Linked DNA regions of Macaca mulatta. The protein of the gene in region 1 interacts with the protein of each later gene in a pairwise test. Links are inferred from orthologs where the notes say so. Each region holds a gene or a part of one and is shown on either strand. Other genes may lie near its edges. The genes, in order: PEG10, SIAH1 and FAM127A.

Region 1 (4,407 bases):
ATAAACTTTTTAAACTTTCTTTAAAAGTTTTAAACTTTTTAAATTAAAGTTTTTTAAACTTTTTTAAACTTTTACATATTATGTTTTAAACTTTTTATGTATTTAAATTTTCCGAATATGGGACTTGAGATTATTAATAAAATTTAAAATAATTAAATCATTCTAAATGTATTTAACTGTATTTTCAGGAAGTACACAGGCAGACACTGTGTCAGGATTTTTTATGTGTGTGATTTATTGTCATTGCACTCATAATTAGAATGCTTAAACACACACCCTACCCCCACCTCCCCACACACATCCACTCACCCGCAGGAATGCAGCCCTGTCCCACCTTAACATTACAAACCTGCATTTGGGGCTATGCTGACAAATCTTGGTTAAAAACTATGGATTGCAAACTGGTGACCTGCAAGACAAATAAGGCCTTGGATTTGACCAACACAGTGTTTTTAAAAAAGTAAACATCTTTAGGTGGGAAATGCATGCCCATGTTGCTATAGTTGCAGCCCCTCCCTCTTTTAATCCCACTCTCTTCACACAGATAATCACCTTTCTATTTTCTAATTAATAACTTTGTTAATATCAGCTAACCATTATTGAATACTCACTACATAATTTACCTGCACTATTTAATTAAGTCCTCACAATTAGTTTGAGGTATACTATTATTGGGCTTCTTTGAATGCCCCATTTTATAGCTTTTCCTAGGAGGCATCAATTAGTATTTCTTGAATGACTGCATAAATGACAAGGGAAACTGACATACACATATTGCTGCTTAGTGCCATTTCTGTCCCACAGAGAATTTTCTTTGGGGATTTAAATTATGGTCAGAAAAGTAATTTAGGCAGTCCTGTAGTTTTTGTGGTGGTGGTTGTTTGATTTGATAACCAGTGACCTTCTCTGTGGCAGTGAAACAGGGTTGTGACAGTTGGCCACAGTACCCTCCTCCCGCCCACAGGGCTGATGAATACATGCATTGTGATTTTAATACTCCCCTCTTTTTTAATTAGCTTCTATTAGTTGTAGTATTAACTATTTTTGGCCTAGCTTCTTTAGTAACAAAAGTTATTATTTTGGCTTTAATTTGCATAATTGATTTGGTATCTATGTTTGCCTTGAAGTTTCTTCCTCTGTTTCAATACAAAACTACTTGTTTAGAGGGTTTCAACATTCTTTTATAGTTTATAAAGGTAAGCATGCTGTTGATGATGTATTGTTGAATCATAATGAACAGGTGGCCTTTGAGGAAGACAAGGTCATTTGAACATCAAAAAGTAGTTTCCTTTTTGTTATCTATGGTGCTGATTGATACTTTTCTCTTGAAAGTTTGTTTTCTTTGTTCGCTAATTATTAAAGTAAGTGCATGGAGCAAGGGATAATTTAAATACTAAATCCTTTGTGTCTGCATTTTGCTGCTTTGAATCTATAAGTTGGATTTATACATTTATCTTTATTTACAGAAATAAGCGGATTTTGAAAACAAAAAAAAGAAGGAGTGGAAGAGGGGGCCAGGATCCAGGCCTCCATCCCCACAGAAGTGAAGCTACAGCTGGGAGGTCTCCTCCCACCCCAACCGTCACCCTGGGTCCCGACTGCCCACCTCCTCCCCCTCCCCCTCCCCCCAACAACAACAACAACAACAACTCCAAGCACACCGGCCATAAGAGCGCGTGTGTCCCCAACATGACCGAACGAAGAAGGGATGAGCTCTCTGAAGAGATCAACAACCTAAGAGAGAAGGTCATTAAGCAGTCCGAGGAGAACAGCAACCTGCAGAACCAGGTGCAGAAGCTCACAGAGGAGAACACCACCCTTCGAGAGCAAGTGGAACCCACCCCTGAGGATGATGATGATGACATCGAGCTCCGCGGTGCTGCAGCAGCTGCTGCCCCACCCCCTCCAATAGAGGAAGAGTGCCCAGAAGACCTTCCAGAGAAGTTCGATGGCAACCCAGACATGCTGGCTCCTTTCATGGCCCAGTGCCAGATCTTCATGGAAAAGAGCACCAGAGATTTCTCAGTTGATCGTGTCCGTGTCTGTTTCGTGACAAGCATGATGACCGGCCGTGCTGCCCGCTGGGCCTCAGCAAAGCTGGAGCGCTCCCACTACCTGATGCACAACTACCCAGCTTTCATGATGGAAATGAAGCATGTCTTTGAAGACCCTCAGAGGCGAGAGGCTGCCAAACGCAAGATCAGACGCCTGCGCCAAGGCATGGGGTCTGTCATCGACTATTCCAATGCTTTCCAGATGATTGCCCAGGACCTGGATTGGAACGAGCCTGCGCTGATTGACCAGTACCACGAGGGCCTCAGCGACCACATTCAGGAGGAGCTCTCCCACCTCGAGGTCGCCAAGTCGCTGTCTGCTCTGATTGGGCAGTGCATTCACATTGAGAGAAGGCTGGCCAGGGCTGCTGCAGCTCGCAAGCCACGCTCACCACCCCGGGCGCTGGTGTTGCCTCACGTTGCAAGCCACCACCAGGTAGATCCAACCGAGCCGGTGGGAGGTGCCCGCATGCGCCTGACCCAGGAGGAAAAAGAAAGACGCAGAAAGCTGAACCTGTGCCTCTACTGTGGAACAGGAGGTCACTACGCTGACAACTGTCCTGCCAAGGCCTCGAAGTCTTCGCCGGCGGGAAACTCCCCGGCCCCGCTGTAGAGGGACCTTCAGCGACCGGGCCAGAAATAATAAGGTCCCCACAAGATGACGCCTCATCTCCACACTTGCAAGTGATGCTCCAGATTCATCTTCCGGGCAGACACACCCTGTTCGTCCGAGCCATGATCGATTCTGGTGCTTCTGGCAACTTCATTGATCACGAATACGTTGCTCAAAATGGAATTCCTCTAAGAATCAAGGACTGGCCAATACTTGTGGAAGCAATTGATGGGCGCCCCATAGCATCGGGCCCAGTTGTCCACGAAACTCACGACCTGATAGTTGACCTGGGAGATCACCGTGAAGTGCTGTCATTTGATGTGACTCAGTCTCCATTCTTCCCTGTCGTCCTAGGGGTTCGCTGGCTGAGCACACATGATCCCAACATCACATGGAGCACTCGATCTATTGTCTTTGATTCTGAATACTGCCGCTACCACTGCCGGATGTATTCTCCAATACCACCATCGCTCCCACCACCAGCACAACAACCGCCACTCTATTATCCAGTAGATGGATACAGAGTTTACCAACCAGTGAGATATTACTATGTCCAGAATGTGTACACTCCAGTAGATGAGCACGTCTACCCAGATCACCGCCTGGTTGACCCTCACATAGAAATGATACCTGGAGCACACAGTATTCCCAGCGGACATGTGTACTCACTGTCTGAACCTGAAATGGCAGCTCTTCGAGATTTTGTGGCAAGAAATGTGAAAGATGGGCTGATTACTCCAACGATCGCACCTAATGGAGCCCAAGTTCTCCAGGTGAAGAGGGGGTGGAAACTGCAAGTTTCTTACGATTGCCGAGCTCCAAACAATTTTACTATCCAGAATCAGTATCCTCGCCTATCTATTCCAAATTTAGAAGACCAAGCGCACCTGGCAACGTACACTGAATTCGTACCTCAAATACCTGGATACCAAACGTACCCCACGTATGCCGCATACCCGACCTACCCAGTAGGATTCGCCTGGTACCCAGTGGGAAGAGACGGACAAGGAAGATCACTATATGTACCTGTTATGATCACTTGGAATCCACACTGGTACCGCCAGCCTCCGGTACCACAGTACCCGCCGCCACAGCCGCCGCCTCCACCACCGCCGCCGCCGCCGCCTCCATCTTACAGTACCCTGTAAATACTTGTCGTGTCCTTCAGGATCTCTGCCCTCAAAATTTATTCCTGTTCAGCTTCTCAATCAGTGACTGTGTGCTAAGTTTTAGGCTACTGTATCTTCAGGCCACCTGAGGCACATCCTCTCTGAAACGGCTGTAGAAGGTCAGGGCCACCCTGGACTGGCACACATCCTAAAGCACCAAAAGACCTTCAACATTTTCTGAGAGCAACAGAGTATTTGCCAATAAATTAGCTCTCATTTTTCCACCTTGACTGCCAATCTAACTAAAATAATTAGTAAGTTTACTTTCCAGCCAGTCCTGGAAGTCTGGGTTTTACCTGCCAAAACCTCTGTCACCATCTAAATTATAGGCTGCCAAATTTGTTCTTTAACATTTACAGAGAAGCTGATACAAATGCAGGAAATGCTGATTTCTTTATGGAGGGGGAGACAAAGAGGAGGAGGAGGACATGACTTTTCTTGCAGTTTCGGTACCCTCTTTAAATCACTGGAGGACCGAGGCCTTATTAAGGAAGCCAAAATTATCGGTGCAGTATGGAAAGGCTTCCGTGATCCTCTCGCTGCACCCTTAGAAACTTCACCGTCTTCAAAC
Region 2 (4,115 bases), on another chromosome or scaffold:
TCAATTATATTTCTTTTCCTAATGTTGTTTTGTGTAGCCTGTATTGTAAAATGAGGTTGAGGTGATTGGACACACTGTTAATAGAGTGAGGAAGTGGGTAGAGTTAAAATTTCTTGCTGAAAGTGGGTAATCTGCAGTTCCTTGCATTGGGTTCACTCCTCACTGCCAGCTCTTGCTGCATTTGGAGGCTGCCCTAAGCATGATGTAATGACAGGTTAAACCTCTGCACGCACTAGCTGATGCAATGCAAATCTGAGGCCCAGGACTTTATTGGGGCAAGGGTAATGCTTGTTTAAAAACAAAACAAGCTACTCTGTGTTTAATGAGGCCATTTAAGATGGCTTTCCCAGAGTGGGAAGAGTATAATCTCTTAGGAGGTTTAAGTAGGAGTTTAATGTGGCAGAAGTGTGCTTACAACTTTTCCTGCGAAGTCTTTTCACAGCGGGGAAGGAGAGTTTAAAATATAGTGCCCATAGGAGTAGAAATGAAGTGAGCTAGAATTGAGTAAATATGGTAGTTGATGCCCGGTAAATAGCTGTTGAATGAATTAAGGAGAATGTTTTCACTCTAAAAATTAAGTTTGCACGATGAACCGGGAATGTAGCGCCGGTGTGGGCACGCATTTCCCAGATACGCCAGATACGCTGTAGCTCTTAGATCGAACCGTGAGAAACTGCCGATATTCGACTGTTGTGACCTACCGAAAACAGCATGGTTCTACCTAATTTTAAACTGGTGGAAATGCTGAGGAAGGCTCGATGTCGCTGGGGTGGGATGGGGTCAACAGCGGGGTGGCGGGGCCCCGCCCTGGGCTGCGGGGCGGGGCTTGCGGGCACAGCCCCACCCCTGCGCGAGCAAGACGGGCACCGCCCTGCGCGCTGCGCGCCCTGAGCTGGCCCTGGCGCCCCGGGTTGGAGTGGGCGTTCCCAACGCAGGCCCAGCCCCGGCCGAGGCTCCAAATGGCTCTCCAGCAGGCAGGCTTCTGCAGTAGCCCCTGAGCTGGCTCAGGGAGCGCACTTCCTTCGCAGTGAGCGCGTCGCCCCCTGCATCCCCGGCCTCCACCGGAGCTGGGGAGCTGGGCAGTAGCCTACGGAGTGAATCTGGAGAAGACAAACTTGGGAGACAGACGAAAGCTTAGGGCACACTGGAGGACAGCGCAGCTGTGGCTCCCATTTTTGGAGATGCAGCCGAATTTGAGCTCACAGGGAGGTGTGGTTGCCTCCTGGGGATGGGAAGGCTTCCTTTCTCCACCTCTGTAACTCGTGCTTCTGAGAAGTAAATGGATATTTGGATCCTGACCTCAGACGCGAATTTGGGTCTTCTGTGCTTAGGAGCAGAAAGTGCCCAGGAGGGGCCTGTTCCTTTACTTCTTGGGGGAAACGCAATGCGCGGCCTGACTTCTCATGACGGGAAAGGCTACTCCACCTTCTCTGTACTCCTGGAGGGGAGTCTTGTTCACATGTTTACCAGCGGCCAGGACAAGGAAGAGAAAAGGTATTGACATTAAGAGGATAGGTTGCTGAGGCTATGAAGCTTGAACGCTATTAGTCAGTGGAACCTGTCTGGCTTAGGGAATGGCTGCAGCAGAATCCAGCCGTTTCCGAGGTTCTCAGTCATGTTTCATTTGGGTTGCTGTGCTTTTTTATGTTTAAATCAAACTTCAGGTTACGTCATGACTTCTGCAGGGCTGTCCTTAGTTCCTACTGCAGGGCGGCTGTGTGGTTGGGATTCCTTTTCTGTTTCAAGATGGAGCTGGGTTCCACCCTTGGAGCTTTGAGAGGCTTTAGCAGTTGCTGTCCTGTAATACCTCCATTCACAAGAAATACCGTTCACATTTCAGTTCTTTTTCACACTTTGAATAGGAGTTAAAATGTGCTTTCTATAGTGTTTGGAAAATGGTAAAGATGTATTGTGAGCCTGAACTGTTGATGATAAATGTATAACTATTGCTAGGTCAAGAAATTGTGAACAACAGTGTTTTTCTCGGTCTCTAGCTATGTTGTGTTAAATATAAACTGAGTTTACTGCCCTTGGATGTGATTCCTTGGTTTGGTTTAGTAATCTGAAAGGCATTGGTTGACTAGACTGTTTTGTGCCCAAGGAACCACTTTGTAATTGTTATGCTGCTTACTGAAGTAAACTGGACCATGCAGTAGGCATACAGCATACAGCCAGGGTGTTTTGGCAATACTGAGCCCACTGTTTTACAAGTGACATAAAATGGATGTCATATGTACAAAGAATCTACTCAGAGGGAAACTGGATTACAGGAGAGCTCCTTTATAGTCCTTTGTCAGGGGACAGAACACCTGGGTCACACTGGGCTTCAGATGAGAGTTGATTCATGTTCTGAGTCCGTATGATGAGACACATTATGATGGAATTCTGTCACTTTTGTTGCCTCTTGAACTTTAAAATATCCTTTTAGTGATGTGGAATTAATCTTTATTTTTCCTTCACCCTAAGCCCTCATTTAAGCTATCAGTTGGTAACCACTTGGGTAATCTAGAAACCAAGTTGCATTTACTTGGTCACATTGGTAACCAACATTGTTTCTTAAAAGTTCCCTGCAACAGAATAATGACTATAATTGAATTAAAACATTAATTTTGAAGCTTTAATTTTGTAATATGGCTTAGTGGCCGGGCGCAGTGGCCAATGCCTGTAATCCCAGCACTTTGGGACGCCGAGGCCGGGGAATCACGAGGTCAGGAGTTTGAGACCAGCCATGGTGAAACCCCGTCTCTACTAAAAATACAAAAATTAGTCGGGCATGGTGGTAGGCACTTGTAATCCCAGCTGCTTTTGAGGCTGAGGCAGGAGAATTGCTTGAACCTGGGAGGCAGAGGTTGCAGTGAGCAGGCACCATTGTACTCCGGCCTGGGCAACAAGAGCAAAACTCCATCTCAAAAAAAAAAAAAAAAAAAAAAGAATATGGCTTAGTAGAGTTACTAGGAGTGCACTCTTAGGACATCGACTGATCTTTTTTTCCACCCCCAAGACAAATAGTGGCCTGCAATATCCCAGCCCAGGTAGCTTCCTGGGAAAAGTTGCTTGTTTTATGTTTGACTCAGCTTGACTAGTTACATTGTCGATTATTTCTTCCAGATGACATTTACTTGTTAAATAACGTTGATTACTCTGCTGATGAATGTTTCAGCAACGCTGGAGAACCCTAGGCTGCAAGGGGTTCTTCACCTGTTGACTTCATCCCCCACCCCCAGTATGGTATATTATCTCTGCCGTGCTATCATCTTTATTCTTTCCTTTTTCACTGTCTCTTCCTGACTCTCCTCCTTTGTTCATTATGTCTGATACATATTGTGGATTGAAAGTGGAACAGAAAGATGTACTTTCTCTACCAGACTAAAAAGTTTTGAGATGGCCCTCCATTTCTCCTATGTCTCCCTTCACCTTTGTTGTGTGTTTATTTTTATATTTTTGCTACCTTCACTAGCGAGTACATCCCCTCACTCTTGAGGTGAGCACTAATCAGTAAGAAATAAGATTAATACCTGGCTGATGATAATTTGGGGGGAAGACTTAATTAGGTAAAGATGGATAATGGGATGGCAGCAGACCTTTCCCCTTGTGACCCCTCCCCTCATTCCCAAAGTACACCTCTAGAGTAGATAATGGCTTACCATTAAGAAGAGTTAATGGAAGGTTCTCTGATTCTTTGGCATTGGAACTACACTTGTCCCGCGGTATCCTCGGAAGATTAGTTCTAGGACCCCCTTCCCCATACCAAAACCTGAGGATGCTCAAGTCCCTGATAGAAAATGGTGTCGTATATGTATGTGCATATTCTCCTGTATAATTTAAATTATCTCTGGATTACTTAATACAATGTAAATAATACGTAAATAGTTGTTATAGACTGTATTTTAAAAATTTTGTATTATTTGTAAATTTTTCTGAATATTTTCAATCCATGGCTGTGGTGAAGTCCTTGGATGCAGACCGTGTGAATACAGAGTGCCGATTTTATCCAGGACTTCACCTGTAACTCCCTATACCTATCAATAGCTGACTCCAAATTAGAAAGAAATAAGAGTAAGGGAGTCTCAGGGAGAGAGTCCTAGCAAAACGGATTCGATTAAACTTCAGTTCCT
Region 3 (3,042 bases), on another chromosome or scaffold:
AATTGTATTGTGTTTCAGGTCATTCATTAAACAAGTTTGTACCTAAATTAACTACAGTTCTGCATTCCTTTCTCCACCACTTACCCAATTAAAGCAATATAAATGTAAATGCTTTTTCTGAAGTATCTAAGCCATTTTGCTGGTTCCCTGATAATGCATTAAATAAAACTGTAAGAAGTGTTCACCAACAAATGTGTGAGATGCATGGCTTGTAACCATCTGGGGTATATGCTTTCAGACAGTTTTTTGGAAAAGAGGGAAGAAAAAGCACCCTATCTGACTATTCCTTATCTTATCTTGGCCACAGTCAGATTAAGGTTCATTTCCTAAGGGGCACAAAACTTGACTTGTTTACAACATTAATCATCTGGGATTAGTCACCGGTGGGATCTCCATTTGCAGGACACCACAGGACTCTGTGTCAACATCAACCATAGCGTGGCAGGACATATAGTTTTTGAACAAGATATGGACCCCATTTACAGAACCAGGGAGGGAAAAGTGCCATATTGACTGAGACCATTTCTTTTCAATAATGTCTGACATTTATTGAAAATAAGGAAAAGACTTTCTCCAGGTAGTGTATTAGAGCAGAGCAGAATGCAGGGGTTACTGTGTTGAACAAAAGGCACACATCAGAGAGACAGTTGCAAACTCAGAAAACTGGGTTATAGGCAAAACTAACTGGTCCACAAGAGAAAATGAGAGACTCGATTTGGCTGCCAGGCACACCTGGGTCTAGGCTGGAACACAAGAGGTTTCTGGGGGTGGGGAGGAAATAGGTCTCGCTGAAGGTGACAGATCCCTTGGGGGGCCAGCTGTCTGGATCACTGTCCAAGGACTGTGGCCAGCCCAGATACCTCCGAGGTGAGTCCAGATCACTAGGAGCAGCAGTCTGTCAGTGGGATGCGATGGATGGCGATGGCAGTGGCAGCGCAGGTCTGTGGGCAGAATGATGTAGTCGTCTGGCAGTCTGGTGGGGAGGAGGGGGCTTGGCAGCGGCGGCAGTGGGTGGTCTGTCCAGTGTGTAACAGGAGCCCAGCTTGCAGCTGGAGCGCAGGACAGCGTCCAAATGTGCATGGGAGGGGCTGGCTGGCTGGAAGGAGAGGGCGGCGGCTCGCTCCAGAGTGAGGCCCAGGGGCGGCAGCAGGAGCCTGGAGCGCTATTCCTGGAACAAAGGCAAGCACTACGCGGGAGGGGACAGGAGCGCAGGGGACATCGCGGCGGCTCGAGGGGGAGGGAGGTGCGGAGGGAGGGCGCCTGTGGCGACCCTGGCGGCGGCCAGTAACACAGCGGGCCCTCCCCAGAGCACCCGCCCCCAGGCTCGAGGGTCTCCCGGCCTAAAAGTCCTCGTCCTCCTCCCATCCAAAGACCCGCTTCATCTCGGCCAGGAAGCCCCGGTAATCATTGAGGAGGGGGCTCTCCTTCTTGATGTAGGGGATCACCCACTGCAGGGCGGGCCCCGTGAGGCGGGTGATGAGGAACGTCACCTTCAGGGCGTCGCTGGAGAATGTGTTCTCGTCCACGAACATGTAGGAGCCCGTCTGCACGATGAACTCCGGGAGCCGGTCGGTATCGCCATCAAACGTCTCGGGAAAGGGAATCGGGTTCCTCCAGCGACGCGTCGCAGGTCGGATCGGCAAGGCCAGGAGGGCCTTTATCAGCTGCACCCGACCGTCCATCGCTGCTCTTCGCTTCGCTGGACGTCAATGGGCTCCACCCGGCTCTGCAGAGGTCAGTACCGAGGCGTCGCCGGAAATGCGTGTCCACGAAGGCCTGCCCAAGCTAGGGTGGGCGGGGCCACGAGCGGGGCTCCAGCCCTCTCATGGACTCCGCCCACAAGGCCGGGTGTTCCCTAGTACGCAGGCGCGTCGTGGGGCACACACTTGCGAAGAAGGGCCTAAAGCCCTCAAGGAGGCAGGGTCCTATCGGAGAGGCTGGGCTGAGGGTTCCTAAGGTGGCGGGACGGGGAGCAGGGGAGGAACCAGGGAGACCTGGTGGTGTACGGGGCGCGAGGAGCTCGCTCCAAGGGTATGTTAGGGGCCCTACCTAGTTCTGGTAGTTGAGGAGTCCTCCCGCTGCACTGGTCCCCACCTCTCATCAGCCCTTGGGTATGCATTCGGGGAGCCTTGGCCCTGGACGCCACTAGTATGAGGTTCTGTGAACACATTTTCCTGCTCCTTCTTGCGTCTCTCAACCAGATTATTGGCTCCCTACTTTGCAACATTAATAGAGAAGCCCCACATATTAGCAAATATAATCCAGAGCAGCATGTTCAAAGAGTAATGCACCACGCTTGAGGGATGTATACTCCATTCTCCATGATGTGATTATTAGGACCTAGTATTTGATAGCACAACAGGATGACTACAGTCAAAATAATTTAATTGTACATTTAAAAATAACTGAAAGAGTGTAATTGGATTGTTTGTAGCACAAAGGATAAGTGCTTGAGGGGATGGATGCCCCATTTACCATTATGTGATTATTATGCATTGTATACCTATATTAAAGCATTTCACGTACCCCATAAATACATATACCTATCATGTACCCACAAAAATTAGAAAATAAATTTTTAAAAAGAATAATATACCACAAGCAGTTAATGTAAGGAGAGTTAAATATTAAGAAATCTCTTAATTTGTTATAAAAGCTGCCCTCAGTTCTCTGTCACGTTGCCCTGTCTCTAGGCAGTTCACTACACTGCAGCTTGTTTCTTCATGGAACAAAGGGAGAATGTTTCTCCTTGAAAGATGGAGTCATGTATAAACTAACATAATCATGGGAGTTCATCACCTTTGCCACATTCTCTTGGTTAGAAGCAAGCCATAGTCCCCACCTACACTGAAAGGTATGACCAGGATATTGGGATGTTGGGGGCCACCTTAGAATCTGTCTGCCATAGCATGGATATACAAATTTGGTGATCCATTCATTTGTTGGAAGGTATTTGGCACATTTACAGGTTTTGGAAATTACAAATGAATCAGCTATAAGCATTTACGTACAGATTTTTGTGTGAGCACAGATTTTCATTTT

The links.
Region 2: the proteins of PEG10 (region 1) and SIAH1 interact in binary tests that used the Homo sapiens proteins (3 or more experiments, as listed by UniProt). The link is inferred for Macaca mulatta from reciprocal best matches to the Homo sapiens genes PEG10 and SIAH1.
Region 3: the proteins of PEG10 (region 1) and FAM127A interact in binary tests that used the Homo sapiens proteins (3 or more experiments, as listed by UniProt). The two-hybrid records come from large-scale screens. The link is inferred for Macaca mulatta from reciprocal best matches to the Homo sapiens genes PEG10 and RTL8C.

The regions. Positions count from the first base shown.
Region 1 is NC_133408.1:124,715,879-124,720,285, reverse strand, and holds PEG10 (retrotransposon-derived protein PEG10), read left to right. Parts: upstream 1-1,466; 5' UTR 1,467-1,587; coding exon 1,588-2,667; coding exon of another isoform or gene 2,668-3,815; 3' UTR 3,816-4,246; downstream 4,247-4,407.
Region 2 is NC_133425.1:43,776,277-43,780,391, reverse strand, and holds the start of SIAH1 (E3 ubiquitin-protein ligase SIAH1), read left to right. Parts: upstream 1-1,218; 5' UTR 1,219-1,403; coding exon 1,404-1,494; intron 1,495-4,115. UniProt on the Homo sapiens protein: E3 ubiquitin-protein ligase that mediates ubiquitination and subsequent proteasomal degradation of target proteins.
Region 3 is NC_133426.1:141,544,627-141,547,668, reverse strand, and holds FAM127A (protein FAM127A), read right to left. Parts: upstream 1,769-3,042; 5' UTR 1,683-1,768; coding exon 1,341-1,682; 3' UTR 521-1,340; downstream 1-520.